Linked DNA regions of Alligator mississippiensis. The protein of the gene in region 3 interacts with the protein of the main gene of each other region in a pairwise test. Links are inferred from orthologs where the notes say so. Each region holds a gene or a part of one and is shown on either strand. Other genes may lie near its edges. The genes, in order: RAD51D, BANP and C6H1orf94.

Region 1 (3,747 bases), on a different chromosome or scaffold from region 3:
GGGCTGGCAGTGGGGGTCACTGCCTGCTCCCTTGGAGCAGCACTAGCAGCCAAAAGTAAGCTGTGAGGCAGCAAGGGGGATGAATGGGGATTTGGCTTGCAGGAGAGCAGCGGACCCATTCCAGGGGGCAGCAGGCCAATCATGGCTGGTAGAGGACAGGGGTGCTGATTCAACTGGGGTGAGGGGCCAGGGGGGCAGTGGATCCAATCCAGGCCACCAGGGGTGGGGGAGTGTTCACAATAAGCTGTAGCCTAGAGTGGCTAAACATAAGTGTAATGTGACCTGGGTAAGATGGATCAGAGCTCAATCTAAGCTGAGGTGGTCCATTTTTAAGCTGTGCTGCTTAAAGGGTGCTTAAAACTAGTTTCACATGTTAACGTGTGGACAATGCTGGGGTTAAGAGCTCCAGGAGCTACCTACAACTGACAAGTAACAAGGCCCTCAGTCACTTCTCAGAGCCACCAACCCCTGCTGAGATCAGAAGTGGAACCGGGTGTCATTATGCTCCCTGGGGACAACTGCCTTACCCGTTCCCCAATGGCAGCAGGGATGAGGGTGCTGCACCAAGAAGGAATGGCCTAGCAGAAAGTATAACTTCAAATATCCAAGATATGCCAAGCTTCCAAATACTAAAGCAGGGGTGGGCAAAAGGTGACCCGTGGGCCGGTTGCAGCCCACCAGGCCATTCTATCCGGCCCATGGTGCCCCTAAAAAAAATTAGAAAATATTTATTTGCCCCTGATGGCCTGTCTTGCAGCCCTTGATGGCTTGCCAAAACTCAGTAAGCGGCCCTCCTCCCAAAATAATTGCCCAGCCCTGTACTAAAGTAACATGTTCAAGGTCAGGAATTAGATAGGCAGATCTGGCTGCCTTTACAGCATGGGGATTTTCATAGTCCCCGCTACTGCTGTGTGAGGCATGAACCACATCCACTGTCCTGTCCCTTGAAAGCAATGTTAGACTCTGAGCCAGCCACCAAGGCGCACAGAACATGCTGGGACCTGGAGTAGCTTCCTAGGGGCTGCCCCACAGCACAGACCATCAGAACAGGCTCAGGGGTCCTAGGAAGGGGGAGAGCCCTCTGCCATTCCCAATTCATCCCCCCCTGGGGGGGGGGTGAGTCCTGCTCTGAGACTCTGGGCTGCCTTTTACCTGTTCGGATGCCACTGGCTTTCAGAAGCTGGATCATCTCTGCCGTCAGACCAGGACAGAGTCCTGCCTGCAGCATCACCATGGCCCTGCCACGTGCCCAGGGGGGTAGGGCGCAGGAGACGGGAGGCTGAACACCATGCAGACACGCACCCTGCACAGAAGAGAAGAGGAGGGGTTTGTATCCAGCAACGCGGAGGTGCCACTGGCCTTGCCTTGTCCCACCTTGAGAAACAAAGACGTGGCCCGCACCAGGAGCTCCGACCGCGGTAGATGCCTGCCAGGCCACTCTGCCCCAAATTGAAGAGTCCCTCTCAGAGCCTGGTCCAGGAGCCTAGTTACAGGCTTGCTTAGTTAGCTCTCCTGGCCCCTGCAGGTGGTCGCACATGAACTTATTCGCGGTGTACTTTGCAGTAGCATCTACAGGTGCCAGTCAGGGATTGGGGCTTCCCTGCACCGGGGTCCTGAGAAGTCAGCACTCGCCCCCAACTCTGAAGTGGGGAAAGGGCTCTGCACAGTCCCACGATCCGCGTCTTTATATCATCGCATCTGGGCCAAGTCTGACAAAAAAAAGCGGAGAGCGCAAGCCCCTGCCCCTGCAGCAGTCGGGCCACTGCAACCCCACGGAAAGCCCGGGCTGCCTGCGGGCAAAGCGCCAGCCCCCGCTCACCTCGCTCCGCAGGGCTGGGCGCGCAGCGCAGCCAGGGCCGCTTCACGCCAGTCAGCCCTGCACAGACACCCGCCAGCCCAGCGCGCAGGGAAATCCGGCTCGGCTCCGCGGCCCCACCGCTCGCCTCCATCCGCGCGGCACCTCCTACTTCCTGCGCCTGCGCCTCCGCCTCCGCCCAGCCCGCTCCGGGGCCGCGACCGGCTCCCCCGCGCGGCGGCTGCAGAGGGGGCCGCCACAAATCCCAGCCCCGAGAAACACTGCCCCGTCCTTTCGCTGCCCGCTCGGCCGTGCCCGGATCTCGCTTCCACTAGGCCTGCACGTGCGACCCCGGAGCACCTGAAAGACGTGAATTACTCCCGTTTGCTAATCCTGTTCCGGTTGCTACTGGCACAGTCTCTCCCCAGAGTCACAAGGCTCCTGATCCTGCCTTCAGAGCCGGGTGGGTGAAGTCCCGTGAGCCCCTGGCTGGTGGTAGGACTGTGGCCTACAACTGAAAGGTATCAACAGCTTCCCCCAACTCCTGGTTTTGCCACCAGTCTGTTTTCTTCGGTGGGAGTTTTTGCGCCCTTCCACTGCTCGGCTCTGAAGTCATTGACCCTGCAGCAAATTCCCCAGCAAGCAAAGGGTCCCTCTGCACAGAGCTCGTTTCAAGTCACACGAGTTGCTCCACTGACTCACATGAGGCTGCTCATGCAAGTAAAAATAACCACATGCATAAAATCAGAACTGGAGTCTGTTCCCTCCTTGCTGGGCATCAACAAGAGGGTAAAAAAAAGCCTTTCACAGCTTTTTGTTTATTAAAACTAGGACCCAGTGGATTATATTAGAAACAAGCATATATACAACTCATGAACACCTTCCTTCAGATCCTAGAGCAAAGGTTGTGTAACAAGGAAGCTGCAGAAACATCAATGATTGGAAATAGAACTGAACTTGGTCTCCGACTTAAAAGCACCAGTTTCCAAGGCTCAGCAAAAGAACTAGGGGGTGTGGAAAGCCAGCTCTGCTCCCAGATGGGATACATCTCTAATCAACCCCTTCTCCTGGCAGATTCTCCTTCCCTAGCGGGTGATGAGCAGGGATCCAGGTTTTCTGTTTCCCATGGAAAAACAGAGAAAACCACAGATTCCGTTTTTATCAGAGAAAACGCAGATTTCTCTTTTTAGCAGAGAAATCCAATTTTGCAAAGAGCTCTTGCAGGGTGGCACAGCTCCAGCCTGCAAGAGTTGATTTGCAAAAAGGGTGGGAAACCCCCAGCCTTGGCTGGAGGGGAAGGAGAGGGGGGAGGGCAGGACCTGAGCCTCTGAAGCAGCCAAGGCCAGGCTGCGGATCTGACTCAGACTCGCCCTTCACCCCTGGAGCATGGAGGTAAGTGGGGCTGTGAGGCAGGACTGGGAAGATGGTTGGGGGCTGAGAGAAGGGGGTGCTGCCGGCCCCAGGCGGCACTTTGCAGCTGGGAGCAGGGCCAGGGGGTGAGGGCAGGGGTGCCCCTCTGCAGGGAGGCGTTGCGGGCAAGTGACATGAGGCATGGTGTGGTGGTACCTGCCATATGCAGGCTACACACATGCTGCCTGGGGGAGGAGAAGAGGGAGGCTGGCATTCGGCCAGAGCACAGCTCCATGGCCGATTCTGCAACCACAGCAGGAACTTGGGCTTGCACGCGGCCGCCACTGCCACTTACCTGGAGGTCCGTGATGGTGGTGACAGCCCCTGCCTCCAAAACCTCCCACTGCCGCTGCGGTGCTGTGCCTGGAGCTGTGCAGCCAGCCGCCAGGTGGCAGCAACAGCATGGTGGTGGCCATGCGGCATGCAGCCACCAGCACCCTGCGCCACCGCAATGTGCCGGCTGGGGCTGGCAGCACCCCTTGTTCCCTCAGCCCCCAGCCCTGCCCCACAGCCCCTAAGCCCCACACCTCTAGGATCCAGGT
Region 2 (3,747 bases), on a different chromosome or scaffold from region 3:
AAAATACGAGACCATGGAAATGCTGATAAAAAGAAAATGCAGATGTTCTGTGATTCCACCTCATTTTTCATGGGCAAGTGTTACTCAGCTTGAAAAGTTTGGAGAAAATGATTATTATAATAAGGGCTACAGACAACCTACATGATGCCAATACAAGTCACTGCAAATGTGACTTAGATAGTTGAAGCATACTAAGTGATCATGGCAGAATCAGAACATCGACAGGATGCCTTTTTGGTATGTGTGCATGTACATACATACCCTCCCCACACACACACCTTGTATGCTTCAGAAACACGTTACTGATGTCCATGAAACATGCGTTGGGATAAAATAATTAAAATTATTTTAAAAAATAAATTAAAAAATAATTTAGCAGAATATAAACTGGTGGAATACTGGTGCTAAACATCTCAGACAGTGAATTAGCATCCATTGGATTTCTGTAGCACTGAGTGTTAATAATAGTATTACTCGTTTAAGGAACCTTAACATTTTAGGTCTGCATTGCAGCCACCTGATAAACATTGCTGGATCCAGACATTAAAAGGCTGTTACTGTTATTATAAATCAGAAATCAGGACAAACAGCCAAAAATTATGCCCACTCCTGGAAACAAAAAGGATGTTCCCATTCATCAAAACTGGATTCAATCTTTTAACTGCCCTAAACATTTATCATGTCATTCTTCTTGACGTGCAGCTCGGCATATTACCCAAGTCTGAGCTTCTGGCCAAGGCAAGGCCTGGCATCCTTACGGAAGTTCACTGCAACGTCTCAGGACCAATTAAGAATTGTTCATTCTGTTATATTTTACAGGACATTCATTTAATATGCAGTGAAATAAATTCATGGTGTGAACAGAAACTATTAAAAGTACGCAACTGAAAACACAAGCATTCAGGGCTTAAAGATAATCTCAATTACTATACATGCACCCATTGATAGATTTGTGATTGCACAGGGCATTTTACACAGCAAATGTTTCTCTCCCCACCCTCCCCGCTTTACTGCATATGAGACTAACAGAAATATGGGAAATTAATATATATATATTTGCACTTCAAAAGGGATGTGGCCAGCCTGGAGAGGGTTCAGAGGAGGGCCACCCACTTGGTGAGAGGGCAGCAGGACAGGCCCTACGAGGAGGAGAGACTGAGGGACCTGAACCTGTTCAGCCTCAGCAGGAAGAGGCTGAGGGGGCACCTAGTGGCTGCCTACAAGCTCATCAGGGGGGATCAACAGCAAATAGGCAGAGTCCTTTTCTCCCCAGCACCACCTGGGGTGACGAGGAACAATGGTCATAAGCTGATGGAGAATAGGATTAGGGTAGAGATCAGAAGGCAATATTTTACAGTTAGTGTGGCCAAAATCTGGAACCAACTTCCCAGGGAAGTGGTCCTCGCCCCTACCTTGGGCAAATTCAAGAGGAGGTTGGACGATCACCTGTCTGGGGTCTTGTGAACCCAGCATTCATTCCTGCCTGTGGCAGGGGGTCAGGCCAGATGATCTGTTCAGGTCCCTCCTGACTCTAGCTACTATGAAACTATAAAAATATAGATACCTACCTATCTAGCTCACTCTCTCTATAGATCTCTAGGTAGACGTCTAAGTGGATGTCTAGGTAGATGTCTAAGCAGTATCCAAGCGGGTGAAGGTGTCTAAGCAGATATCCAAGTGGATGAAAGTAGATGTCTAGGCAGATGTAGATAGATATCCAAGTAGATATCTACACACACACACACACACACACACACACACACACACACACACACACACACACACACACACACACACACACACACGTTAAACTCAGTAAACTGTAGAACTAAAGAAGTAACAAACTGCAGACAAAATAAGCAAACAAAATGCTGTACTTCCCCCCCAGGAATAACCAAACAAAAACACTTCTCAACAGGACCTGTCACTGGGGGGAGAGACAGGACACGCACGCACATGCACACACAAACAAACACACAGCTTTCAAAAAAATGAAATTTACAAGGATTTAAAACCTACTCCTGCGAAAACCCTCCCTTAAGGATACAAAAAATGAAAACACACCCAGGCAAATTAGACCCCCCCGCTCTCGCCTCCCCACCACTAACAGAAGGACACGGCTTTGATGAGAAACCTGCTCGTTTTGACCACATCACAGAGAGAAAAAAAAAAAAAAAAAAAAAGCACTTCAAGAGTCCAACGACACTTCAAAGTTGGGGGGGACGGGCATGTATCCGGGTGGCTCAGTGCAGGGACCGGGGCGGGGGGGGGCACCTCAGCCCATTTGTCCGACCCCCACCCCCTCCTTACAGCTCCCTCTTTATAAAGAGATGATGTATAAATATATAACTTTACATCTTTACACCCCCACCCCCTTTATAAAGATATAATATATAACTTTACATATTTATAAAGGGGGGGGTGGGAGATATAATATATAACTTTACATATTTATAAAGGGGGGGGGGAGACAAAAATTGCTGACCAAGCACCAAAAATAATTTTAAAATATAACTTTACATATTTATAATGGGGGGGGGGGGGGGGGACACAAAAATTGCTGACCAAGCACCAAAAATAATTGTAAAGCCCGCCAGGCGGTAGAGAAGAGCGCCCCCCCCCCACGTCGCCCAGTGAAGGCCCCCCCCCGAGGAAAGCCCAGGCCCAGGCGCAGGCCCAGCGGGCCGGAGGCGGGGGGGAGGGGGGAATGGTCCGCCCCGCCCCTCCCCCCGCCTGCATGGGGGGGGTTGTGAGGCAGCCGCCCCTCCCCCGCCGCGGGCCCTCCCGGAGGCGGCGGGTGGAGGCGGGGAGCGGCGGGCCGGGCGGAGGGCGGCCCCCGGGGAGCCCAGCCCGAGCCGGCGGCCGCGGGGGCCGCGGTTACCGTGTGCGGGGCCGAATTCTCGTGGTGTTTGTCGAGCGGCTGCGATAATGGCGTCCTTCCTCGCGAGAGATCTCCGCCGCGCCAGCGCGCATGCGCCGCCGCCACCCGCTCCCCCTCCCCGAGAGGCCGCGCAGGCGCGTTGCCGCCGCTTCCCGGCAGCCGCCCTTCATCGTCCCAGTGACTACAAGTCCCAGAGGGCCGCGCGCGCCGCCTCTTGGGTTGTACGGCTGGGACGTGTAGTCCTCGGGCGGGGCGCGGGGCATGCTGGGCGCTGTAGTCCGAAGGGCAGCCCTGTAGTTCCTGCAGCCTCAGTGACCTGATCCGATGCCTAGCCCTATACACCAGCCTAAGGGATATATCTGCAAGTTCTGCATCATCCAGATTTTTTTTTTGAATGACAAATATACAAGCAATACTTGATTTCAGGGGTTTAGGTTGTAGCTGTGTTGGTCTAAGGACATAGGCAGACAAGCTTGCTTAATAACTATTCTCCAACCATTTGGGTTGGTCTAATAAAAGACATCAAATTCATCCAAGGAACCTTGTCTGTACTTGATTTCAGACATTCACGAGACGACCAGTCTAAGGGATAAATCTGCGAGTTCTGCATCATCCAGATTTTTTTTTTGAATGACAAATATACAAGCAGTCCTCGACTTCAGACGTTTCGCAAGATGACCAACCTAAGGGATAAATCTGCAAATAGTGCATCACAGCCAAAAACCCTTCAAAAAGTCCAACCAAGAGCCCTTCAAAAAGTCCAGCAAAGTCACCTCAAAGAAGTCCTTCCAAATCAATATGATTGCTATTTACAATAGAAAGACATTAGTGTAGTTATATTACTCATCTATAAGTGATTGACTACA
Region 3 (3,747 bases):
TTCTGGATGAACTAAGTCTATGGGTATGAGAATCTATAGTCATCTGCCTATATGCAAATTGATATCAAGGTTAGCATTTTCAGATTTGCCTCTCACTTTTGCATGTGTTTAGAGAGAGCAGTGTCTGATGGTAAGGGGTTTCAGGGGGAAGAATTTGGGGGGCAGAGGGCAAGGGGGCACTTTATAGACACACACACACACACACTTATTTTCCCTGCTCTTGCAGTAGGAGGTGGACAAATTCAAGTCGCATCTTCAATAATTAGTTTCTATACCTGGAAAATTATTATTGGGGGGATCATATTCGAGTAAATTAGGTACTTGAAAGACCAGTTGGCTGTTTGTAATGAAGCTTCTGTATGCTAGGAGCTGTACAGACATAGAACAAGACCAGCCCTGCCCCAAAGAGCTTACAGTCAGATAGACAAGAACAGAAATGACTTGCTGAACGTTGCCCAACAAGTCAGTGATAGAAGTATGAGTAGAATACAAATCCTATGGGACCAAGGCTGGTACCCCATTTACTGGACCCCACTTTTCTTTTCTTTCTTTCTTTTTTTTTTTAATGGATAGAAAATGAATGTGATGGGTCACCCCTGTTCCTAGGCATCTCCCATCATACGCTGTACCCTCTGGACAGCCCGAGATTGCAAATGCAAAAGGAAGAGTATTGCGGTATCCTCCTGTCTCCTCCCTAAGTGTGACAAATTCGGTGCAACTGCGTAGCGCGTGGGCAAGGAATTACGAAAGCTGGCTGCACTTGCTGTACCTGCTACATCAATTATAAAACTCAAAAGTATGTTTCTTCTAAAAATCATTTCATTTCTTAAAAATGGGGTTTTTCATTAAAATTCAGATGAATATTTCATAATTGCATGTAGGGTCTTGTACTGCCCATACTAATGGAGCATCTTCCAGGAGTGCATTATTGAGATGTACATGTTTCACATGTCCATAAAGATGTCTGGGCCCAGTTCTGTCATGTCATCTATGTGCTGGTGTGACTCAATTGACTTCAGCAGATGCTAAAGGAGAACGGTGACTCAATGTGCGATACCGTCTACAAAGTCCATACTGCATTTTGGATAGAGAAGGAAACGATGCGGAAGTTGGGACTCTTGGCTTCGAGTCCTGGATATACCACTACTTCCCTGTGTGCCATTGATCCAAATACTTTCCTTTTATTCCTCAGTTTCCCTATCTGTAAAATGGGGATGGTGGTACCAACTTGCCTCTTTGGGAGGCATCATGAATTCTGGTATTAACAATTATTTACTGCATCAGATTAAGATGGACCAGGTCTGTACAGCTGTTACTGGTATGTTGTGTTTTTGTTTAAGACCTGGGAAGTTGCCAACATGAGCTAATTAATTGCTGGGTTTGTTAATTTGACAATTTTTTTTTTTCCTGCTGCAGGAATGTACTATAAATATTGTCCTTTTTAATTTAAAGAGTGTACCTTCTTTCCTCCCCACAACTTACCCTCTGGAGCGAGACTTGGCAGAGAATTTTTTTTCTGCCAAATCCAGCTTTTCTTTGTAAAGATCAGCTGTTTACAGTAGTTTCCTTATAACACTTTAATTTTCGGTTCTGCTCTTTTGAATGCTTCTTTTGCTTCTTCCTGTAAATATTTTGATTTTTTTTTTTTTAAAGCTGCTGTGGGGAACTGAATGCAGCAGCTGCTTACTGTGCTTCAGAATTAGATGTGGCTAGACATCACAGGACGTCATTTTGCATAGAGAAAAAGGATCCTCTTCAGCTTCTGTGATTTGGGCTGTGAAAATAAACCCCTTCTCAATCCTCTTCCCCTCCCACCCACACCTCACCCCCTACCCCCCAATTTCTCTTCTCAACCATGTTGAAAGAACATTTCATGTATTTTTATGCCGGATCCCAACCTGCTGTGGGCCACAAAGCATAAGAGGGGGGAGAAGCCATTTGAATTGGAGAGGGGGTGGCAATTTGAAATCACTCACTCTTGGGAGGCCCTGAGGGTCTCTGGCGGCTCTGGGGGGCAGGTAGGCTGGAGGAACAGTGGTGATGTAGGCTGGAGATCTTCGGAGAGACCTTGAACCCTCTTCCAGATGTCATGGCAAGCTTTGTCCAAGCTGTCCTGAGGAGTGTTGTGGTGGATCCAGATGTGCCGTGGGAACGGCCCCAGAGGGAACGGCCCTTTGGGGCTTACTGTCGGACCCTGGGGCCCGTTTTCACCTGTGGGCATCTCTTCGTCTCTTTGCACCCAGAGACCGAAGGCCAATTTTTTTTCAAAGAAAGGTTTCCTGCGGGTACGGAACGGAATGAATAGCAACAAGCCGCGGTAGCTCGGTAACCGCAGAACCCCCGGGCCCGGCAACGGATATGAAGGATAACAACCAGAAGCAGCTGTCGAGGTCCCAGCAGCACCCACCCGACCACACGTAAAAGGGAACGCCAGGTCTTTTTAGGAAGACTGAGAGCAGCAGCCGCCGAGGCGTCTTGCAGATTCGGCCAGCCCGCATCTTAAAACAGCCCTGATTCCTCCCTTAGGTTGAATTAATTTCATATTGTATCCTGGTGCCCAGGGGGCTCCTTCATCCCTGTGGCCCTTGACATTTGTGTCTCTTCCCAGATGCCTATGTTGGGTCCCCTTCTTATCCTCGGCAGTATAGGCTGAAGCAAAGAGGTGGGGTGGGCATGCAGGGGATGCTAGAAGAGACAAAGGCAGGAGGTATGGATGTCCTGTAGTGCCTTGATCTCTGTGGGGGGAGCAGTGCGTCTCCCTGGTGCTCCTCACTAACCTCTAAGCCCTGGATTGCGCCAGGTCCTAGCAAACAGTGGGGTCCAGTGGAGAGCCCTTTGGCATGAAGTCCAACCTACGCTCTGCGCTTGGCTTGGTTGCTATTTGAGCTTAGACAGCCAATGTAACCCTCTTTACTGCTCCTCTTCCCCATCCAGCTGTTTGTCTGTTTTGGCGATTTTTTTGGATTCTTCTGATTTGTCTGGGACCAGGACTCAAGTGCTAGCATAATATCACTAGCTGTTCCTGCCATTTTCTCTTACCATCGCTACAAACCGGTCCAAGGCATCCTTTCCCTTGTCTTCATTGAGTCTTTTGCATGCTTGGAGCCAGGAGTGGAGCATCTCTCCCACTGTCCTGGACTGTGCAAAAGAACTAGCTCCGATTCTTTTTTTTTCTTGGCGTTTCCAGCGGAGCTGGAGATGTATACAAGTTAAAATGGGTTTACTGCACATGGCTCCTGCTGTTTAGGTTGATGCATTTCCACAAGATAGACTGGCTCCTTGCAGAACTGTGCGTCTTTCTACAACTTCCCCTCCGTGGATGCGGCTAATGGTATGGCGGGGGAACGTGGGGCATCTATTTCCCCTTCCACTTGCCTCGAAATTCAGGGAAGATGTTGCTGGGAACTCAAGCGTTTATTATGGTGTGACCAATAGAGTGTCCTTTGGTTCTCATGGATGGGTCTGAGCTATGACATTTTGGAGCTTGTCAGCATTGATGAATATTTGCTTTGTTTCTTTTTAACACTTTTCCTATGCAGCACCAGGCACTAGCCATTTACAAACACAAGATACTGGAACATCACTTTCTATTTTAGTAATATGCTGCCTTCATGCACTAGCCATTTTTGCCCTTTACTAGCTCGGATGTTTGAGTGATGTCACCCTTTGGTGCCTGGAGCACAACAGAAGAGAAAATCCTGAATTCTGGTGCTCCAGTGAAGATGACTATTCATCCTACATAGTGCG

Evidence for each region.
Region 1: the proteins of C6H1orf94 (region 3) and RAD51D interact in binary tests that used the Homo sapiens proteins (3 or more experiments, as listed by UniProt). The two-hybrid records come from large-scale screens. The link is inferred for Alligator mississippiensis from reciprocal best matches to the Homo sapiens genes C1orf94 and RAD51D.
Region 2: the proteins of C6H1orf94 (region 3) and BANP interact in binary tests that used the Homo sapiens proteins (3 or more experiments, as listed by UniProt). The two-hybrid records come from large-scale screens. The link is inferred for Alligator mississippiensis from reciprocal best matches to the Homo sapiens genes C1orf94 and BANP.

What each region holds. Positions count from the first base shown.
Region 1 is NC_081837.1:26,422,988-26,426,734, forward strand, and holds the start of RAD51D (DNA repair protein RAD51 homolog 4), read right to left. Parts: upstream 2,233-3,747; 5' UTR 2,156-2,232; intron 1,924-2,155; exon of another isoform or gene 1,820-1,923; intron 1,749-1,819; exon of another isoform or gene 1,402-1,748; intron 1,304-1,401; 5' UTR 1,235-1,303; coding exon 1,153-1,234; intron 1-1,152. Other genes in the region: UNC45B (protein unc-45 homolog B), read left to right, coding at 2,498-2,584. UniProt on the Homo sapiens protein: Involved in the homologous recombination repair (HRR) pathway of double-stranded DNA breaks arising during DNA replication or induced by DNA-damaging agents. Bind to single-stranded DNA (ssDNA) and has DNA-dependent ATPase activity.
Region 2 is NC_081833.1:74,478,745-74,482,491, reverse strand, and holds the start of BANP (protein BANP), read right to left. Parts: upstream 2,989-3,747; 5' UTR 2,882-2,988; intron 1-2,881. UniProt on the Homo sapiens protein: Controls V(D)J recombination during T-cell development by repressing T-cell receptor (TCR) beta enhancer function. Binds to scaffold/matrix attachment region beta (S/MARbeta), an ATC-rich DNA sequence located upstream of the TCR beta enhancer.
Region 3 is NC_081829.1:7,532,194-7,535,940, reverse strand, and holds the start of C6H1orf94 (uncharacterized protein C1orf94 homolog), read right to left. Parts: upstream 2,284-3,747; 5' UTR 2,222-2,283; coding exon 1,977-2,221; intron 1-1,976.